Canis lupus familiaris: one gene and its partner. The protein of the gene in region 1 interacts with the protein of each later gene in a biochemical or structural test. Links are inferred from orthologs where the notes say so. Each region holds a gene or a part of one and is shown on either strand. Other genes may lie near its edges. The genes, in order: PELI1 and UBE2V1.

Evidence for each region.
Region 2: the proteins of PELI1 (region 1) and UBE2V1 form a complex in vitro, tested with the Homo sapiens proteins (3 studies listed by BioGRID). The link is inferred for Canis lupus familiaris from reciprocal best matches to the Homo sapiens genes PELI1 and UBE2V1.

The regions. Positions count from the first base shown.
Region 1 is NC_049231.1:65,022,917-65,026,737, forward strand, and holds part of PELI1 (E3 ubiquitin-protein ligase pellino homolog 1), read right to left. Parts: exon of another isoform or gene 3,389-3,821; intron 380-3,388; coding exon 182-379; intron 84-181; coding exon 1-83. UniProt on the Homo sapiens protein: E3 ubiquitin ligase catalyzing the covalent attachment of ubiquitin moieties onto substrate proteins. Involved in the TLR and IL-1 signaling pathways via interaction with the complex containing IRAK kinases and TRAF6.
Region 2 is NC_049245.1:37,194,552-37,198,372, reverse strand, and holds the end of UBE2V1 (ubiquitin-conjugating enzyme E2 variant 1), read left to right. Parts: intron 1-600; coding exon 601-726; intron 727-1,974; coding exon 1,975-2,121; 3' UTR 2,122-3,782; downstream 3,783-3,821. UniProt on the Homo sapiens protein: Has no ubiquitin ligase activity on its own. The UBE2V1-UBE2N heterodimer catalyzes the synthesis of non-canonical poly-ubiquitin chains that are linked through Lys-63.

The DNA of each region.
Region 1 (3,821 bases):
TTACGTGGATGCATAACAAGAACGCCATTAGTGGTTAAACCATCCATCTGCCCATCTGACGTCTTCCATTTGGCAGCCTTCTCCTAGTAGCAATTAGAATAGTGAGCTTCCATTTCTTTTTGTAATTTGGAAACAGAAGTGGTTATAATATAATGCATCATTTAGGAAAAAAGCTTTTTACCCCAAGAAAGATGTTTTTTGATGAGTCAAATCCTGCAGCATAAATCCGTGCTGTAAAGGGGGGATTCCGTTCACATATGATTCTACAGGCAAATCTTGATATAGTGCTTTGCACTGACTGTGTATCAGAATTACTTTGGCTTCCAGGAACTGTGTCAGTTACTACAAAATCAATGGGACTTTCAGTCGACCGACCAATCTAAAGGAAAAAAGAAATGTCTATAAACCTACTGGAAGGAACACAATGGAAAAATCCATTCAAGAAAGATACAAAAAGGTGAAATCAGTAAGCCTCTGAAATTTCTAGAGCTCAAACTTATACTTAACTCTGAGAGCATCTACACCCTGGAAACCTAATCTGTCATACTTGTTCTGACATGATAATCATTTAGAGCATAGAAGTAAGTGGGAACTTACCATCCAGAATATATAAAACCCTCAGGGAATGCAGAGTTTAGCATGGCTGAGATTTCTAGATGGCTGGAAACTTTAATTTTAACCCCTTTGGAGGGAAATATGCCTAACATGTATTACTCTACCTTCTTCAACAGAATATAGTGAACACACAAGTAAATCTTTTATGATGACTCCAAGACATTGAACTATAAATACCATTTATATTATACTGAATGCAGTGATGTTTCAGGTGCTATAAAGGTGTACAAGAATGCTGATCCTTACATTATGGGCTTATATAGCTTTGCTTTGAGGCCTTATGCATACTTTATAGATATTTTTGTGTGTTTTCTGTCAAGTTGTCAACTCCCATTTCTTGCTATTAGGCATATTTGGTTCTAGCAGCATACCCCTCCTCTAATCAGCCACTATTATTCTGCTAGGGTTGAGGAAAAAAAAAAAAACAAAAACAGACTTCAAAGAATAGTATTTCAAAAGGTTCTTGGTAAGATCTTAAAGGATTCTCCAGGGAGCAAAGAAAAGGAATTTTAGTACATGGCTTATGTGGCCTTTATTTTATATACCTGGATGTCCTTTTTATTTTCTTCCTGTTTCTTGGCCATTATTTTAGAGAGACAAGGTTCCCAGATAAGAGTTTTGATATATGGGTCAGTAAATTAAAACATCTTCAGAGGTACCACTAGCAAATAAACTAATTTTCATTTTGAAAGATGAAAGTTGAGAAGAAAAAAAGAAATAGATGACAGAACTGATTGTCTTGGGGTTTTATTTTATTTTATTTTTTAAAGATTTTACTTATTTATTCATGAGAGACACACACACACACAGAGAAGCAGAGACACAGGCAGAGGGAGAAGCAGGCTCCATGCAGGGAGCCTGATGTGGGACTGGATCCTGGGTCTCCAGGATCACACCCTGGGCTGAAGGCGCCACTATACCGCTGAACCACCTGGGCTGCCCTGTCTCGGGGTTTTAAAGTAAACATTTAAAAATGAAAGAAAAAAGGAAATCTGGAATAGAGGAGAGTGTCACAGGGTTTTAAAGTAAACATTTAAAACTGAGTTCATTCATATATTTGTTATCAAGTAATATAAAACTGAAGTAGATATTTAGAAAAAAACACTGACCCTCTACAAAGATGATGACACTTCAAAGACATTCTTTGCATAGCTGAGTCTTAAGAATTCCTCATTACCACACACTTTTGGAGAAAATCCTTTTAGCATTTTTGTCCTATCATCAAGCATGTCTTTCTTATTTGGATGGTTTTAGAAGAAAACTGGTTAGTTAACAAACTTAAGACTGCATGTCCCTTTTCCTGCTTTTTAGATAACATTTAAAGAAAATGGTCTCAGAAACTTTTGAAACTAAAAATATTTCTAAAAATAAAAGGTTCTTTTAGATCCAAAAAATGCAGGCCCAGGAATGGATTGAGGATTGATATTTAGAATCAAGATATTCAGAAGTGGCACTCAATTGGGAGGGGAGATTGTTCCAGAAGAGCTGATACTTGAGCTGAGTCTTAGAGATTTAAGATATCAAAGCAATATTGGTTAAGATAGGTCAGAAGGAAGAAACCTTAAGTATCCATGAAGAGAAAAAGCCTATGTGATCATGATCAAAGTGCCAAAATGTAACTGTGTTAAGATAAATTTTAACAATTCTTCCTCTAACTGCTACAATTAGCTTTAAAAATATAGAGCTCATGTCATTCCCTCCCACTCTCATTAAAAACCCTAATGGTTCCTTCCTCACAGACTATCCAAACTTCTTAGTTTCTTATTTCTATAATAATTAGAAATTGACTTCACAATTTGCTTCCTACCGATCCAGCTTAGTTTCCTATCATTGCCATTCATATGAAAAGTATATTCTAGCCCCAAGCAGCCCGTAAATCTTCTACTACACCACTGTGTACTTTGTGATCTCTTTTGTCAGAATGCCTCTCTACTGGCTAGACTGACAAAATCATACTCACTTGGATGACAAAAAAAAAAAAAAGTCTGGATAAAAAGTCACTACTGTGACATCTTCCCTCCTCTTCAACCCAATCAGAAACTTGTACTTCACATTTAGATTGCCAGTATAACACCTATGAATATAACCAAATTATAATGTCTCCTTTATTTACTTCATAGTGTCAACCAAATGCAGAGAGTTGGAGTTTAAATAGCTAATGAATTACAATAAATGTTCTTGTTCAGTTTGGAAGGAAGGCAGGCAATCCCAGAATGATTATAAAATCAGTTCCTCAGAGACTGGCTAATTTATCAGGGTAGTTTCCGATATATCTCCAATTTTTTGATGTAGAAATGTTTGGATTTTCCATCAGTGTAATGCTTTGTAGAAGGAGTATCATGACTACAATTTAGAAAAAACTCTCCTTTATGAAAAGGAAAAAACTGAAAATGCTGCAACTTATCTAAGGAACCCTCATAAGATAGTAAAGACACTGTTCTATAATTCAGAATGCCTGCTTTTTTTTAAAGATTTTATTTATTTATTTATTCATGAGAGACAGAGAGAGAGAGAGAGAGAGAGAGAGGCAGAGACAAGGCAGAGGGAGAAGCAGGCTCCATGCAGGGAGCCCGATGCGGTACTTGATCCTGGGACTCCAGGATAATGCCCTGGGCTGAAGGCAGACGCTAAATTGCTGAGCCACCCAGGGATCCCCAAGAATGCCTGTTTTTGTTTTTTTTTTGAAAAGTTAAAAATTCCTTAATTTTTTATTCCTGGTACCACTACCACAATTTACAGGGCAATATACCTGATGTAATGAAAAGAAAAAGAAAAAGAAAAAGACAAAGCTACAACAGATAAAAGACCTCAGGAATGTACATCTAATTGACACTACATTGCATTAATCAATAGCTGCACTTTTTGCAAACTGTGGCTATGACGGTCCTGAACAAGAAGGGTTTCCTGTTTAAGCTGCAGTAACTTTTCTGACTATGGATCATCGTTCCTCCTGTGGCAGATTTTTACAGTTCCTCTAATGCATTTGGGACGACTGTCTCAAAGTAACCTGCAGCTTTCCTGACAACTCCTCGCTCTCTCTCCTGCTAAGAACTGTAGCCCTTTTCTTCTGAAATTTTTTTAGAACCTTCTGCTACCATATCCACCACTTCTACCACCAGATCCATAACCACCACCATAGGGACTGCCCGAGCTTCTTCCACCAAAACTGCCCCCTTTCATGGGTCCATAATTTGATTGCTGTTGTC
Region 2 (3,821 bases), on another chromosome or scaffold:
CACCCACTAAATACCTGTAGTCTCTCAGATTGATGAAAAGTTTGCAGGGAGAGATGATGTTGCCCACCACCCCAAAGTGATGAGGAAATGGGAAAACAGTTCTTGTATCCGCACCCACACCCACTAACTTTTGTTTAATTTTGAAGTTCTCAAAGTTCTCAAAGCACCTTTTCAGTGCTTTGCACATGGTGGTATTTACTGCATTGGCTGATGACCCTGCTGTGAGTAGACCTTTAATGTGGCTTTCCAGAGTAAAGAATGCCTATTACACACCATTGCCCAGAGCACAGGACAGGTCTGCAAAGTAGAGAAATTAATATAAAAACAAGTCCATCTGATTGGATTTAAATAACACTAACTTGAAACTTCAGTGATACTATTTTAAATTTTCTGCCTTTTTATTCCCCCAAGACCAGAATTGATATACACTAGTGTGGGGACAAGTTACTACTAATTTAACAAATAACAAGTAGACTATGTATAAATATAGGAAGTAGATACACCAGTTCTGCAGGCAGGAATAAATGGGGTTTCAAAAGATCTGCCTTTTTGAGTTCATGGTGTGTAATTGCCTGACATCTCTGTACCTTTTTTTTCCAGACAATTTATGAAAACCGAATATACAGCCTTAAAATAGAATGTGGACCTAAATACCCAGAAGCACCCCCCTTTGTAAGATTTGTAACAAAAATTAATATGAATGGAGTTAATAGTTCTAATGGAGTGGTAAGTTGTTTTTCCTGCCCATATTGTTCCTTTGGGTTGAGAGATGCTTTTTGTACTCAAACACCAGGAGCACTGTGGCCCTAATTCTATATTGGTGATTTGATAATCTTGATGATCTTGGTGATTTGATGATGAAATATATTGCAGTATGAACATATGCAGACTTGGTGTAAGGGCCTATTCCTCAGCTGTGTTTAAATCATCATTCGTGTGACACTTACTCTGGGCCAACACTGTGCTGCTTGCTTTGAGATAGGAGCTCATTCTGTCTTCATGATACACCCTCATGAGGTAAAGATGAGGAGCCTGAGGCTTGGAGCTGCAAAGTCCTATCCGGGGTCATAATTGTACTTCCTGAGCCTTATTTACAGGACATGCTATTTTTTTCCCCTTTAATGGCTTGCTTTTTCACATTCATTTTTACTACCATAAATGGAAAACCAGCCTCTCTTGTCATAGAAGGCAGTAATGGCAACAGTAAATACTACAGAATCAAAGTGACATTAATAAATGCCCCATGTTTCTTGCCAAAGGCTTTGAGCCTTTGAGACCTGCTCAAAGGGGAGATCAGCAAGTGTTGAAGGGTTTTACGTGTTAGCATTATGTGAGTTAAGCCTTTGTTTTGAGACACTCAGAAGACTTGAAAGAAAAGCGAAAAGATATGGGCTTGTTGCTGTGTGTTCAGTGTTTAATGTTGTATCTGAGCTCCACCAAAGTCCTGAACCCAAAACTCAACTCACACTTTGGGAAATTTCTTTTGGGAATTACGGTACTAACATGAGAGAATGTGACTCAGAGGCAGGGCCTTGTCACCAGAGTGTGGATTTGGGCCACCAGTTGCCTTTGCTCCTTACTGCACTGAACATTGTTATCATCTACCACCTGGGTGTAGAGCCAAGAAAGGACAGCCTTGAGCAGAGGCAGCAGCCAGTGCATCCAGGAGAGCAGGTCACTGTTCTAGAGCCAGCTGGGTGGAGTCTTGCTAAGTGTCAGGGCCATTTCTCTGAAGGTAGCTTTACATATCCATAGTTTCCTTCTCCTAAACAGTGAGGGTTCGGACACAAACAGGAAAAAACAGACTGCCCAGAGGGAGGGAGTCATGCAGGTAATTCTACATGTCAGATATGGTGGTGTGATGGGCATGTTCCACTTGAGAAATGCACTTTACTCCTATCTGCAGTTTTACTCCAGCATATAGTGATTCATTTGTTGGAGAGCCTGACAGTTTTTTTGTTTGCCTTTCTGTAGGTGGACCCAAGAGCCATATCCGTGCTAGCAAAATGGCAGAATTCATATAGCATCAAAGTTGTCCTGCAAGAGCTCCGGCGCCTAATGATGTCTAAAGAAAACATGAAACTCCCTCAGCCACCCGAAGGACAGTGTTACAGCAATTAATCAAAAAGAGAAACCACAGGCCCCCTCTCCCCCCCCATTCGATTTAAGCAGTCATTTTCCACAGTAGTACATTTTCTAGATACGTCTTGTAGACCTCAAAAGTACTGGAAAGGAAGCTCCCATTCAAAGGCAATTTATCTTAAGATACTGTAAACGATACTAATTTTTTGTCCATTTGAAATATATAAGTTGTGCTATAACAAATCATCCTGTCAAGTGTAACCACTGTCCACATAGTTGAACTTCTGGGATCAAGAAAGTATATTTAAATTGATTCCCATCATAACCGGTGGGGCACATCTAACTCAACTGTGAAAAGACACATCACACAATCACCTTGCTGCTGATTACATGGCCTGGGGTCTCTGCCTTCTCCCCTTCTCCTCCTGCTGGCTCCCTCCCTCCCTCCCTCCCTCCCTCCCTCCCTCCACCCACCCCTCTGTCCCTGCAACAGCCCTCCAGCTTGGGGTGGCTTGCTAGAATAGGCGTGAAGGTTTCAGGTCGCAGCCTGTGGGACTACTGCTGGGTGTGCAGGGGTGCTCCAGCTGCACCCCTGGTTTCCTTTTTTAAGTCTTAAATGATGCCCTCCCCCCTCCAAGCCATCATCCTTTCTCTTCCCATGACCACCCTCGGCCGAAGCATAGATTGTAACCCCCTCTGCTCCCCTCTGAAATTGGCCTTTGGTGAGGAATTCAGGGCTTTCCCCATATCTTCTCCCCCACCTTAATCGAGGGGTGCTGCTTTTTCCTTCCTCCTCAAGTCCCTTTTTGCACCATCACAACCCAATACTTCCTTGCTTTGGCCAGAAGCCATCAGGTAAGGTTGGAAAGAGTCTCTGACTTCCCTCGTTTAGTTTGGAACCACATTTACTCACTCTCCACCAGCCTGGGAATGAATATTGGGTCCTCAGCCCTGCCACCCTCTGCTGTCATCATCAGCTGATGCCGTTTTTTAGCTCAGGTTTTGATAAAGTGAAAAGAACAGTCACCAGGGGTATTCAGACCTGCCAGCTCTCAAAGTGCTTGGTGGTAAAACTTGGAGAAAGGCCACAGAAGACACTTGTAAGCACACACGATCCCTCTGAATGAATTGTTTTCTTTTCCTATAATTGCTTTTGCTTTTAACAATTGAAGAAGTTTTAAACAGGGTTCTCATGTGGTCATCTTACAATCCATTTGGGTCTAGTTTGGAATCTGACAACTGGAACGAAAAGAACCTTGGATTCGGTGCATACTTTGGTTTTGGTGCTGCTGCGTCTCATGGTCCTCAGCAGGGATCGAGAAAGAACTCAGTGTGCACAGCAGATCCCCGAAATTGGCGGGCTTGACTTCCTGGCAAATTGCTGCGTTTTTCCACTTTTCTGTTCAGGACCACTAAATGCTGAGATGTGGATGCATACCGAAATAAAAGCGATTCATTGTGTTCTAAAGATTTTTTTTTTTAATTTAGTGTTTGTATAAAACCACCTTTTGAAGCAGCAACTATCAAGTCTGAAAAGCAATCGATGTTTCCATTAATCTTTTTCTGGGGGATACCTTAGTTCTAAGGATTTAACATCCTGTAAGTAAAGTTGAACATAACAGTATTCCATAAGCAGCCTTTTTATTGTCAGACCATTGCCTGATTTTAATATAATAAAAAAGAAAGTGTGCGTTAATATTTAAGAAGCTGTGCCCTTCTTCCGCTTGGCATATAATTTA